Linked DNA regions of Canis lupus familiaris. The protein of the gene in region 1 interacts with the protein of each later gene in a pairwise test. Links are inferred from orthologs where the notes say so. Each region holds a gene or a part of one and is shown in the gene's direction. Other genes may lie near its edges.

Region 1 (3,646 bases):
TGAAGGTCCTCGTCCTGGCTAGAGAGCTCAGGCCCCTAACGAGGTCAAGAGATGGTGCACCTCGGATTCAGCCCTGGATGCTACCCCCAGCTCCACCAGTCACTAGTCGCTTCTCATCTCTCAGCCTCAGGTGTCCTCAGAGATATTAGCATTTTGCTCACAGAGGTGTCAAGGATTATTATTTTTTAAGATTTTACTTATTCATGAGAGACACAGAGAGAGAGAGAGAGAGGCAGAGACACAGGCAGAGGGAGAAGCAGGCTCCATGCAGGAAGCCCGATGTGGGACTCGATCCTGAGTCTCCAGGATCAGGCCCCGGGCTGAAGGGGCCGCTAAACCGCTGAGCCACCCGGGCTGCCCAGGTGTCAAGAATTAAATGAGAAGCATGCCTGTAGTGTGAGGCATTCAGGGCGCACTCAGATGTCCATGGGCGCACTTTGCTTTTCCACTAAAGTGAAAATAGAAGGTGGTCATGAGGCATGAGGAAGGGTAAGGGAAGTGTGGGTCCCTGGATATAGGGGCAGTCACTGAAGTCCTAGAGCGAGGAAGCCAGGGGCCTGGGCGGGCCGCAGAGCCTCCCGCTTTCCTCTCAGCACGGGTGCCAGCCTTAGTCCCTGGGTCTTCCCACAGGTGGAGCTGAAGAGCCAGGAGGCTCAGAATCTACAGCAGCAGCGGGACCAGTACATGAGCCACCTGCAGCAGTATATGGCCGCCTACCAGCAGCTGGCTTCCGACAAGGAGCTGCTGCACAAGCAGGTGCTGCTGCAGACTCAGCTCATGGACCGGCTGCAGCATGAGGAAGTTCAGGGCAAGGTGGCGGCCGAGAAAGCCCTCCAAGAGTTACAGGAGACCCAGGTGAAGGGAGTTCGAGTACTGGGCCCCGAGGGGAGGGCCTGCTACCCGCATCCCTTCTCACTCTTTCCTGGCCCCTCAGGGACGCCTGGAATCTGCCACCCAGCAGAACCAGCAGCTCCAGGCCCAGCTGAGCCTCATGGCTATGCCTGGGGAAGGTGAGTAGGAGAGTGTCCAGGGGAAGAGGACAGAGCCCGAGGAGGAGGAGGGGTGACTTTGAGCAGCACAGAATCAAGTGTGACGGGACCTGTAGGACAGTGAATTCTTCTCTGGGGATGCACTGGCCCCAAGCTTTGTTCCCTGGCCCGCTTTACCTCCCCTGTTGGGTTGTCTGAGGACCCTCCATCTGCCCTGACAGGAGATGGATTGGACAGTGAGGAGAAGGAAGAAGAGGCTGCCCAGCCAAAGCTGAGCATGCCAGAGAACCTGGAGAGCCGAGAGGCCGTGGTGAGCAGACCCCCGCTGCCCCTTCCTCGTCCCACCTTCCCGCTTCCCTCTGTGGTAACCCCCTCCCAGGGGCACCCTCCTTTCTTCTTGGTTCCCTCCCTCAACCTCTCTCAACCCTCAAACCCATGGGACCCAGCGGTCAGCCTCGGCACCATCCTTGAAGCGCAGATGTGCCCACGAAGGCCAGGAGAGGAGGAGCTTCTCTCTGCCTTCCTGCCACCTGGTCACCCTGAGTATCCCCCACAAGAGCACACACACATGTCTCACCTGCAGGTGGCATTTTTTAACTCGGCCTTAGCCAGTGCTGAGGAGGAGCAGGCACGGCTGCGCGGGCAGCTGAAGAAGCAGAAGCTGCGCTGCCAGCGTCTGGCTCACCTGGTGGCCCCAGGCCAGCAGGTGCAGGAGGAGGCCGCAGCCCCCAGTGGTGACAGTGTGCCTGGGGAGACCCACCAGGCCCTTCAGGTGGCCATGGACAAGCTGCAGGTGAGCCAGTCGCTGGCCAGCCCTGGAAGGGTGGGGCCACCAGGGCGGGCTGCCTGACCCTGACCCTGCTGCTCTGGCCACAGGGCCGCTTCCTGGAGCTCATGCAGGAGAAAGTGGAGCTGAAGGAGCGGGTGGAGGAGCTGGAGCATTGCTGCATCCAGCTTTCTGGAGAGACAGACACTATTGGTGAGTGGGAGGGCCAGCACCCGGGGGTGGGGGGAGCCCTGTGATGGGTCCAAGAGCCTGAGCGGCAGCCCGTGTACCCACAGGAGAATACATCGCCCTGTACCAGAATCAGAGGGCAGTGCTGAAGGAACGGCACCGGGAGAAGGAGGAGTACATTAGCCGTCTGGCTCAAGACAAAGAAAACATGAAGGTAGGGGCCCTGAGCATCGCTGGGAGTGGTACAGGGCAGGGGTGGAACTCGGGGGTGCTCAGCACCTCTCCTTCCAGATGAAGCTGCTGGAGCTACAGAAACTGGTGCTATGCCTAGTGAGCGAGCGCAATGAACGGCAGGGCAAGCTCCTGGCAGCTGCCCAGGACCCCGCAGCAGAGCCTGCTACAGCACCCCCAGCCCAAGAGCTTGGTGCTGCCAATGGCCAGGGTGGTGAGTAGAGCCCTCAGGGTGGGTGGGGCGGGGAGAGCTCGCACAGCACTCAGAGCCCTGTTTCTTTCTCTCTCCCTGACCCACAAAGATCTTCGAGAGGTGAGCCTGGCTGACAATGATAATGTGGCACCTCCTCAGGGAGAGGCCCTACCAGGCCACAGTGCCCCTGAGAACCCCACTGCACAGCAAATCATGCAGCTTCTGCAGGAGATGCAGAATCCCCAGCCATACCTAGGTTTAAGCAAGAATCCCTGCGTCCCCTTCTTCTACCGGGCTGATGACAATGACGAGGTGAAGATCCTGGTGATCTAAGAGCCTGACACCAGCAAGCAAAACCTGGAGAAGTGGGGCCGGGGGCTCTGCTCCCACCCTGTCCCTGCCACCCTATCATTCCTTCCCAGTTACCCTTTTATCCCTAAACTAGCAAGATAAGACCCCTGAGAGGGGTGTGAAAAGCCTCCTAATTGGGGGAGACAAATAGGTGCAGACCTCTTGCCACCTTGGCAAGGGCTGTGTCTTTATCTGGACTACTCATCGTTCCAGAAAAACAAAGAGCCAGAGGCTCAATAAAAACATAGTTTATTTAGAGGGCTCCCTTTCTTGGGGGGCAGGGGCTCCCTGGTGGCCTCCTCACCCCCACCAAGCAGTCCTTCAGAGGGGCTCAGGCATCCTCTATTCAGAGGCACTTTGGGGAACAAGTGCTCCCCCTGTCCAGCTCAATGACTGGGCAGCACTCTCCCAGGCCTTAGGACAGTTGGGGCTAACCCAGGCCAGGCAAAGGCATAAGCTGGTGGGGGGGGGGGCTCCCTCCCCAGTGTATATACTGTACCTGTGTAACATTTTGTATATTCTGGGGATAGGGCAGCCCCCTGTATCATAGCAGAGGTTGGAACTGGCAAATGGGGAGGAAGTTCTATTAAATATTTGGGGATGAGGAAACTTATTTATTGATAGCATAGGACAGAGGAAGGAGGCGGGGACGGGGTTCCGCCCAGGTGACTCACAACTTCTGTTTGCTTTTTATTTCGGAATAAATGGATTTAGCCATACTGTTTAGCCTTGTGTGTGCCTGTTTCCAGTCACTGGCCCCTAGGTCCTGGAGTCTGCACTGTGGGCATTGAACAGGGAGCAGATCCTGCCAGCAGAGGGCAGACTTCTGGATTGTGCAAAGCCCCAGTGTCTCTGAGCCTGCCTAGCAAACAGAGCTGTTGGAGATGATCCAGGCCTGTCACCCCCATGCTGCTTGGGGAAGCCTGG
Region 2 (3,646 bases), on another chromosome or scaffold:
AATTAAAAAAAAAAAAAAAAAAAAAGGATTTGAACTGGCAGCTTATAGAAGAGGAATTTCAGGGCAGCCCTGGTGGCCCAGCAGTTTAGCACCTGCCTTAGGCCCAGGGCGTGATCCTGGAGACCTGGGATCGAGTCCCATGTCAGGCTCCCTGAGTCCCCATGGAGCCTGCTTCTCCCTCTGCCTGTGTCTCTGCCAATCTCTCTCTCTCATGCATAGGTAAATAAAATCTTAAAAAAAAAAGAAGAGGAATTTCAAATGGTTAGTGAATACAGGGATAGATGCTGGTACTTGATAGGAAAAGTTTATAAATATATGCTATAAATATATGCTATAATAAATAGCATTTAGTACTCCTGAGAATGTGGGGAAACATTTACATACATTGTTGGTAGGCTTGTGGATTGCTAGTCTTTTTGGAGAGTGGCCTGGAATATCAAGACAAAACTACATAGACTAAACCGCAGTACTATCTTAGGAATCTATTCTGTTGAAGCAAAACCACCAATATCTAAAGATATATATGTAAGGATGTGTATCGTAACATTTTAAAAAGGCAAAAATCTAGAAATTCCCGTGTCTGGTTAGCCATTAACAATAGTTGATTAAATTGAGGTACACTCAGGTTGTAGAATATTACGCAGTAATTAAAAATAAGTCCTTACAGTAGTCAGGAATGTTGAGAAACACTGATCTGTTGACTTTGGAGGAAAGAATAGGTATATAAACACTAAACTGGGATTTGACTCTGGGTGGTTTTGAGTTCAGACTAAACACATGTGAGTATGGTATTGTGTTGTCTTACTTAGGGAGGCAGCAAAACATGAAGTGGTTAAGGGGAAAGACCCTAGAGCTACTTGACCACTCACCAGCAAGTTACTTCTCCCAAGCCTAGTTTCTTCATCTCAGTAATGGCAGTGATAATAATAACACCTGTCTCATGCAGTCACAGTGAAGATTATATAAGTTAAATTTAAAGCATTTAAAACATTACCTTGCACATAGTGCTATATAACAGTGGTAAGTAGGTGGTAAGTAGTACTTTGACCCAGTCAGTCATGGGCCCTATAACTAGTTGCCTTTTCGATTTACAGAAATGAATTAATAAAATCTCAAAAATTATCTAGCAAATGTATAAGGAAGATATTTACTATAATGCACAGAGATACATAGGCTCTAAATAGAAGTGTCCCTGGGATGGCTGGGTGGCTCAGTGGTTGAGCGTCTGCCTTTGGCTCAGGGTGTGATCCTGGGAGTGCCGGGATCGAGTCCCGCTTTGGGCTCTCTGCATGGGCCTGCTTCTCCTCCCTCTTCCTATGTCTGTGCCCCTCTCTGTGTGTCTCTCATGAATAAATAAATAAAATCTTTAAAAAAAATAAATGATAGAGTCCCTAAGATTTCAGGACAACTCATTACCAGTTGGTTTCATGTCTTAAGATCTCATTATGATGGTATGATTCTTTAAGATTCTTTTTGTGTGACATGTTCTAGTTAACTGGAAGAAATCTTTGCTGCAATTGCTTTAAAAAAGTGATAATTTTAAGAGACTTCAATGAACATTAATGTATTTTTTATTCACGCATAGCAATTATATCCCAGAAGTGAGAATCATGTCGATTCCCAACCTTCGCTACATGAAGGTTAGTACTTTGCTTATTAACAGGAAGACTAAGGGTTGATCAGAGATGTGTGTGTGTATGTGTATGTGGGTGGCGGTATATTTAGCATGAAATTCAGGAGCAAGGGATAAAAAAATTTGAAATCATAAAAGTTTTGAGATTTTTAATTTCTTTATTCTGAGATTCTTGGCAGCAGCATCTTTAACATAAATTTTGAAGGAGCAGTGTGCACGTTATATAAAGATGGAATGATGGGTGAGGAGAGAAAATGTTTTACCCCACAGACACCTTTAGCTCTTCTCCAGCCAGAAGACTCTCCACATCCCATTTCTGTGTGTCAGATACCAGGAATCAACCAGATTTCTTCTTTACTACAGCTCTTCTTCTTTGAGTTCCTTATCTGTGCCCCCTCCTGCCCCCCCCCCGCCCCAGGGGTTGTAGAATATTCTCTAGCAGCCCCTTTAGTTCTTTACTTTTGTGCTGCTTATGAAGACATTTATGTAATCCATGTTCATCTGAAAGATTTTGGCAATCTCAAGAAAGTACAAAACGAGCAAATTATGGGTCAAGAAATCTTAAAAGTCTTTTAGAGTCCTAATGAATGATTTTTTTCAATATCTGGCTACCCTGCAGCTCCCATATTTTATTTATGAGAACTTTCAGACTAAGCAGACTAAGTTATGCTCAGGAGTCCTTACATGGAGGACTGGTTGGAGCAAGAGTTGTAAACTTTAATCACTTAGATAATGTACATTCCTCAGAATTTCTGAATCTAGTACCTGGCTCTTTCTGTGGGATCTGTCCTATTTCCTCATGTAATTTAAGTAGCTCCAGAGCACACATAGCCCAATATATAAATAATAAAATAGGAATCCGCCAGCCCTCTGAGAATGATGTAGTGACTTAGAGGTATAGGTGGGTGTTATTGCTTAGGAGTAAGGGGGGCTGGGGTTGTAATGGTTTTCTGAAATGCTTGGTGTAGCAATAAGAAGGTGGACCTAGGTGGCAGCAGTGGAACATGTCTGAGACAGGCTTTTCCTATTCCCCAGGAGAGCCAGGTCCTCCTGACACTTACAAATCCAGTGGAGAACCTCACCCATGTGACGCTGCTGGAGTGCGAGGAGGGAGACCCCGATAATGTCAATAGCACTGCTAAGGTAGGAGCATTTTGCCTTATCCTGAGGGACCTTGACTTTCCCTGGAGGGACTTTTTGACCTGCTTAAAGGACTCCACACTGTCTTCTGTTCCCACATCCAAGCACTAATCAAATTCTTTGGATTTCACCCCTTGAGGGTTTTTTTTGCTGTATGCGCAATCACACTGCCGCTGCCTTCTGCAGATCTTGTTCTTTCTTACCTGGACTGTGCCAGTAACATTCGGGATGACCTGTTTGGAATCCACCCTTACTTCCTTTCCAGCCTGTTGTCTGTTTTGCCACAAGAGCAACCTTTGTAAAATCTATCTCTGATCATGGCATGCTGGTCATTTGGCATTCCTCTGACTTAGGGAGGAAATCCACATTCTTTGGCATAGCTAGAGAGGTCCTCCACGGTCTCCCCTCTGTTGTTCCAGGATGCCCTTTCCCCAGATCTCCAAATCTAGCATTCTCCAAATCAAACATATTAATGCGTATTATCCGAGCAGATGCAATGGTTATGCACTTTCATGCTGGAGAATTACAGATGCTACTCTCTCTACCTAGAGTGCCATTCTCTGACATACAGGCCCACACCTCTCAGTCTTACCATACTCAGTTTTCAAGACCCATAGAAAATTTTCAGCATGTCCTTTTAAAAGCTGGTATGCCTCTTCTAGCTGCCCTCTGCTTACATGCAGTATACATGGCACCAACTATTAAAATAGGTGATTTTGATTTTCAGTAAATGTCAGTTGAATGAGTAAAATGTAGCCTTTCTTCATTTTGCTACTTGGTGATTCATGTAATACTTGGAATTTTAGATCAAGAACTTTACTCAATGGGCAATCTGTTACTGACTTATAATTCTGCATGATACAGCAAGAATTG

The links. The genes of interacting proteins can lie anywhere in the genome.
Region 2: the proteins of GOLGA2 (region 1) and DCTN4 interact in binary tests that used the Homo sapiens proteins (3 or more experiments, as listed by UniProt). The two-hybrid records come from large-scale screens. The link is inferred for Canis lupus familiaris from reciprocal best matches to the Homo sapiens genes GOLGA2 and DCTN4.

What each region holds. Positions count from the first base shown.
Region 1 is NC_049230.1:55,336,384-55,340,029, forward strand, and holds the end of GOLGA2 (golgin subfamily A member 2), read left to right. Parts: intron 1-630; coding exon 631-855; intron 856-934; coding exon 935-1,010; intron 1,011-1,210; coding exon 1,211-1,299; intron 1,300-1,572; coding exon 1,573-1,782; intron 1,783-1,865; coding exon 1,866-1,968; intron 1,969-2,051; coding exon 2,052-2,158; intron 2,159-2,235; coding exon 2,236-2,389; intron 2,390-2,477; coding exon 2,478-2,701; 3' UTR 2,702-3,443; downstream 3,444-3,646. UniProt on the Homo sapiens protein: Peripheral membrane component of the cis-Golgi stack that acts as a membrane skeleton that maintains the structure of the Golgi apparatus, and as a vesicle thether that facilitates vesicle fusion to the Golgi membrane.
Region 2 is NC_049225.1:59,357,624-59,361,269, forward strand, and holds part of DCTN4 (dynactin subunit 4), read left to right. Parts: intron 1-1,585; coding exon 1,586-1,640; intron 1,641-2,668; coding exon 2,669-2,776; intron 2,777-3,646. UniProt on the Homo sapiens protein: Part of the dynactin complex that activates the molecular motor dynein for ultra-processive transport along microtubules.